2 linked regions of the Bombyx mori genome follow. The protein of the gene in region 2 purifies or fractionates together with the protein of the main gene of each other region. This does not show direct contact. Links are inferred from orthologs where the notes say so. Each region holds a gene or a part of one and is shown on either strand. Other genes may lie near its edges.

Region 1 (2,720 bases), on a different chromosome or scaffold from region 2:
CTATTAGAAATGCCCGCTGTGACGTCACGCGAGAAGAGAGATAAATGTGTCTCGAGCCAACGCTTGGGCCGATCGTGCCTCTCTATCGCTTGTTCCGCGCTCTCGCTTGCACGCTCATGCTCAGGCGGAACGTGACACTTTTTCGTGCGTGCAGCCGGTGTTCATCGATTTACAAGACGTTATTACGTCAAAACATTGCAAATCAAAGCCGAATAACATTATAAAAATCCGCAGTGAACTAAAGCATACGATATATAATCGACTGGATACAACTTTAATCACAAAGTCAGAATTTAAAAAATCTACATATTGGCTAACTCTTTGCTTTGTAACCGCTTTGTAACTATATACAAATTCACACTATACTATAGAGATGTAAATTCTGTGAAAACACAACGAAACTCTTTTTAATTATTTTAAATACGATGTGATTATCGAAATTCGCCCTTATTCCAGTTACATATAGCAGTCATACATGTGACATATATAATTTTTAATATTTACGTACTGTATAATACTTGACTTATTTATGGGCGTAAGAAGTTTGACTTCTATGGTGATAAAATCTAGATATATGTATATATATAGATGCAAACAACGAGTGTTTATGTTAGGAAAATATTAATGAACATAGTCATTTTAAAACGATAATAACGCCACCTACTTTCTGTTTCAATGTATCCATAACTTTTATGTTCCCAAATCATGTCATAATTTATTGCATTAATTCCGAATATTATTATATTTATGAATCATCTATGAAGCCTGACTTCACCTGACCCGAGGTCCACTTGGCTTGGTGGAAATATCTCGAACACAAATAGTAAATTTTTCCATTACGGCCCATGAGTATTTGTCAAAATTGTCCAAGTAGTTACGACCAATGTAATCAATTTGGTATATATTTATGATGCAAAATAACAGTTCTAGATAAAGTCGAACAAAATATTAACTAAATAGTAATGGATATATGAATATCTATTTGTCACAGTCTGTGTTTTTAAATTAATTTGGTTCAATTTAAGCCACACATATAATGCATTTCTTTGTTTTGCACTGATCCCTGATTCTCTGAAAGGCGTGTGGCGCATTTACGTTGTAGATGTCTATGGGTTCCAGTAACCACTTAACACCAGGTGGGCTGTGAGCTTGTCCACACACCTATGCAATAAAAAAAAATCCCACAGTTTTCTACTTTTTTAATTATATACCATATAGCATTTAGATAGACTAAAGAATAGAGATGTATGTATGGGTCCATAAGAAACAGAGTGAATTAAAATAAGAATTAATACCATTCGTCACAATCGTTGAAAAAAATACATCTATAGTATTCCATGGATACAGAAGAACAAAATAATGTATAGGTATGTGGCAATGATAGATGAAAAAACAGTTTAAAATATAGAACAACAGAATAAGATGAATACAATCATGTTCAAGTAGATTGTACCTGAGATTACATATAAGCAAATAAAGCTCTCCGATTTCAATTTGACTTGGCTTTAAATATTCAATTAGACATAATTAAGCTTACTTTTACAGTTTAGTCTCGGGTTTATTTGTTTCATTTTATTATATCTGACTTTTATAATGCTTCAGATTTTGTGTTTACGGTTGACTATATATATTATTATGCTTACTACCTTGATCATTGATAGTATCATTATGGTAGGCAGCGGCTTGGCTCTGCCCCTGGCATTGCTGACGTCCTTGAGCGACGGTGATCACTTACCATCAGGTGGGCCGTATGCTCGTCTGCCTACAAAGGCAATAAAAAAAAAATCTCAATTGAAAATGAGAAACCCGAGATTAAAACATAAAAGGAGTTTTAACTATGTGAATTTGAAGATATTTTTTTTTTCTTATCAATTTCTTTATAGAAAGATAAATGGTATAATATACATTACACACATTATAATAGATCATTTTGGGGGTTGTATAAAGAACAGTTAAAAACTTCTTATATTCTGTACTTACATTTGCTACTTTTGATACCGCACAGTGTAATAATTTTCATAAATTACTTTAGAATTTGCATCAGTTCTGATTGTATTGTCTCACATCAATAATATTATGCATACCTACCGATATAATTTCACGTCACATTCAGTAAAATTGAAATAGCACAGTAAGTGGCCAGTCTCGAACCTGTCACGCATGATACTGGGGCCACAAGCACATTAAACACATTTCAACACTTTAGTTGAGAGCACTTGATAATGTCAAAGTCATTTATCACTGAAGCACATTAGCTAATCGTTTGGTTGGCTATTGAAACTACAGGTTGCTGATTCCCGGCTGATATCACAGTGGATCCTGGAGGTATCTTCTGCGGCACCATGCCGTCTATAGGTCGGTACTTCTTGAGTCTAGTCCACTGTCCATTGTTGTAGTTCATTTGGAAATGCATCTCTGAGAGCATAGTGAGATACGTGTCGTCCGACTGTAGAACATTCTCAATGTTTTCAGAGAGTTTTATCGTAACAATATTGCCGAGGTTCGGACACGGATTATCTGGAATTAAAATATAAGTGGTTAATGTTTTCATATTATATTGATGATTTTTTAAGAGTCGTCGTGCATTCGTGTTTAGCGATGCGCCGGTGTTCGAATCCCGCAGGCGGGTACCAATTTTTCTAATGAAATACGTACTCAACAAATGTTCACGATTGACTTCCACGGTGAAGGAATAACATCGTGTAATAAAAATCAAACCG
Region 2 (3,995 bases):
TAATAAAAATAATAATGTAACTCTATGCATATTTTCAAATGTTTCAAAACTGTTCTTACCCATATAAATAACATTAGGTACTATTTCAGATCCTTCTTCACAGTAATGATGTACATGGTCTGGATTTGATGGACCAAAAACATAGGTTGTCACTGGAACTGTAATTTGAGATTGTTGATAAAAAAATATATAGTCAGAAAAAAATGTATTCATAACCCACCCAAATTAATATTGACCAATTCCAATGCCTCAATAATGTTGATGCTTCATCCTCACGTGGTAGTATAAGCGACAGTATAATTATTATCAATATGAAACATGTAGAGGTTCCAATGACTATCTCATACCGGGTCGACCGTAAACTAATGAGCCCATCTCTATCGTATTAAAAATTTTAAGTCAACGTTTTTACCTTTCCTCGTTCCCATTTTATATGCATCCAGTTGTGAATTATCATCTCCAAAGAATGTTCCAACACATAAAAGCAAATCAAACTGTCCAGATTTCTTCACAATCGATTCTACGCGCGTAAACAAAGCATTGAAATTCCCATTTACATCTCCACATATTAATCTGAAAAGCAGTATGTATTAATTCATTTCAGTTGTTTGCATTGCTTTCAAACTAAGACGAAAACCAATCAGTAATTACGTTTTCTGTTTATCCATTTTTATACACAAGTGAAAGGCATTTAAATTGGTAATTTGATTGATACAAACTTTTAGATTTTAGATAAAACACTGTCAATTTTATAGAATTTAAGGCTTGGTAACGAGTCGTTTGAGCCAATAAAACACAATAATTATGATAATGACAGACTACGAAGAGATTACAAATAATATTGAACGGCTTTTAATCTGTAAACGTTTTCACTTGTGTAATAACGGTATGTGGGAAAATGAAACAAAGACGCTGGACTTAACTTCTCGGGCTCCTCCAAAAAGTACACTGAAAAATCTTAGTAAATGACCACCGTTTTACTGAGATTAGATTTCATCTCATATCATCTCATTTAATTTCATCCTAGTTGATTAATGTCTCAAATTAATCATTTTCATTTCATTTCACTCCATAATATCATTTTTCATAAAATCAAGAATATAGATTAAAATAAGACATGACTTAAAAGTCACAGTTACCAGGTCATAAAATCTCTTAAAAAAAAAAGTAATAACGGTGGTTTATTAGCTGTTTAATATCTGTGAAATTGCACAAATGTGGGAAAATGAAACAAAGCCGCTGGACGTAAATTCTCGGGATCTCCAAAAAGTCCACTTAAAAAGCCTTAGTAGATAACCACCATTTTACTGAGATTATATTTCATCCCATATCATCTCATCTCATTGTATTTCATACCATGTTATTAATTAACCAACTTCATTTTATTTCACTTCAAATTTTCATTTTTCATATATAAGAATATATATGAGTAGGCGTATGGTATGACATATTTGCCTTTCCAGTTAAAAAAATAAAACTACTGCTCGATGTCAAACGTCAATATATGCTTAATGTCAGTTGCTTGTCAATAATTTCTAAGCAGGAAACTAATTTATGTTATTTTCTGTTGTTGTTAACTTTATTTAAGATTTATTTGTGTTGATTTATTAAATGAACTGAAAAACTGAATTAAATTAAGATCGATGGCGTCGTCAAGTAAACTACCAGGCACTGGTCTAGAAGAAGTGGGAGTACCAGGACAAACTTTCTTGCGAGATGCTCTGACAAGCTGTACCGACCCATTGAAAGCTATTGAAGAGTTTCAACTTGAAAACGGTATTTTATTGCCTTCTTTAAGGCCGATGCTGCCTTTACTAGACCTCCATGGCGTTCGGCGGCTTGACTTTCATACATCAGTTCTGGAGGAATTACGTGAAAAACTCATTGCCCACATCAACGAGCTTGGCAATAAAGATAACAAGGATAATGACAAAAAACTCAAAGAACTGCTATCTAAAAGCTTCCCAGTCGTCAGAGTTAAAGCTTTAAGACCTGTTATAATGGGTATTCTTAAAAATATCCCACATATAGATGATAAGTATCTAAGGGTACTAGTTCGCGACAGAGAACTGTACAATGACACAGATACTGAGGTGAAGCGTCAAATATGGCAAGACAACCAGTCACTGTTTGGAGATGAAGTTTCTCCACTCCTCAGTCAGTACATCAGGGAGAAAGAAGATGTTCTGTTTGATCATGAAAATCTTACAAATCTATTTTTTTCCCCTTCCCCAAAAGTAAGGAGACAAGGTGCAGTTGTTCAGAAACTTGCCCACATGATAGGTACTAGTGTTAAGTTATATGACATGGTGTTACAATTCCTGAGAACATTATTCTTAAGAACTAGAAATGTTCATTATTGTACATTAAGAGCAGAGCTTCTCATGGCCTTGCATGACCTAGAAGTTCAAGACATCATATCTGTAGACCCTTGTCATAAATTCACATGGTGTTTGGATGCTTGTATCAGGGAAAGGAATGTAGACATTAAAAGATCTAGGGAACTGCAAGGTTTTTTAGACAGTATTAAAAAGGGACAGGAGCAAGTTCTAGGAGATCTTTCTATGACGTTATGCGACCCTTATGCTATCAATTTCTTAGCAACGTCAGCTATCAAAATTTTACAACATTTAATAAACACTGAAGGGCTACCTCGAGATAGTACAGTTTTAATACTACTGCTAAGAATGTTGGCATTAGGGTTGAGCGCTTGGGTAATGATCGATTCTCAAGAATTCAAAGAGCCAAAATTAGATAGTCAATGTGTCACAAAATACTTGCCTGCCTTGATGTCATTGATGGTGGATGATCAAGTGAGAGCACTACATAATAAGTTACCTCCAGATGAAAGAGAGTCTGCCATCACTACGATAGAGCACTCGGGACCTCCACCTGATGCTTGTGAAGCCTATATGAGAGAAAGCTCAGTTTGTGGTGTTATTGCAATGTACTACACACTGCATGCAGCCAAATTACGTGACCGTGGTGCCTTACTTCGCATTCTTAGTATTCTCGGTAGTTGTAAAGATGGTAGAGCATATGAAGACCCATTTTTGCATGCTTTAGTGGCACTTCTAGTACAGTTACCTGATGAGTTCCAAGGAGAAGATTTTAGTACTGTATTATTTGATGAATTCTTCTTTGCTGGACTATCTAAGGATAATGTGACAAGACACTTATTGAAATTGCTGTGGTATATTCATCCAAAATTACCAGAGACTAGAATTCAAACTCTTATGAAAGCGCTGCAGCCTGGAACTCAGCATAATGAATCTGTACATAAATTATATGAGACTTTACAACAGAAATTAAATGCGCAAACAGAACCCGGTCCGAGTGCAACTGAAATGGAATATCTGGACTCCCCGTTAATGAGTGTACGCACGCCAGCACCATATCATATGTAGCAAATATTCATTGTTCATTATTTACTTTTAAGTTATAGACATTATATAAATTATATAAATATTAAAACAATTTAAAACATGTTTTCTTGCAAAACATTCCAAACAAAATTATTGTCTTTTCTTAGATTTATAAGTCAGCAGTCAGTTGATTGTCTGTGGTTCTGGCATTGCTTTCGTCCATGAGCGATGGTTACAAAGGGGGTCCATTAGAATGTCTGCATAAAAGGGCAATAATTTTGTTTTTAAGGTTGACCAAAGGGAGACCAAAATTTCCCTGACAGAAGCATTTAAACCAACACCAAACCGTGCGTTCGTCTCCAGTGTTCACTCTATACACGTCATTAATGTTGTGAGGCGTTTCTGCGGCATTGATGCCGCGACGAAACTCGTTTTCCATAATTACTATTTACGTGTCCCGGCAATATTATAAAACGGCAATTTCATAGGCAAAGATCTATTACTCGTACAATTAATATAAATATGATAGTGCTGGTAATTATGTAGGTAACTAATATAATAGGGGTTAAAGTATGAAATTGCTGTTGTATTGTAATAGGTACTTCGAATTGACATAGAACCTTCATGGTT

What was found.
Region 1: the proteins of negative elongation factor B (region 2) and negative elongation factor A purify together in Homo sapiens (affinity purification with mass spectrometry; 8 studies listed by BioGRID and IntAct, counting the BioPlex papers as one, with this or other methods). This does not show direct contact. The link is inferred for Bombyx mori from reciprocal best matches to the Homo sapiens genes NELFB and NELFA.

What each region holds. Positions count from the first base shown.
Region 1 is NC_085132.1:9,755,416-9,758,135, forward strand, and holds part of negative elongation factor A, read right to left. Parts: intron 2,518-2,720; coding exon 2,252-2,517; 3' UTR 1-2,251. UniProt on the Homo sapiens protein: Essential component of the NELF complex, a complex that negatively regulates the elongation of transcription by RNA polymerase II.
Region 2 is NC_085125.1:6,339,880-6,343,874, reverse strand, and holds negative elongation factor B, read left to right. Parts: upstream 1-1,488; 5' UTR 1,489-1,643; coding exon 1,644-3,407; 3' UTR 3,408-3,484; downstream 3,485-3,995. Other genes in the region: CWF19-like protein 1, read right to left, coding at 60-158, 413-573, 652-668. UniProt on the Homo sapiens protein: Essential component of the NELF complex, a complex that negatively regulates the elongation of transcription by RNA polymerase II.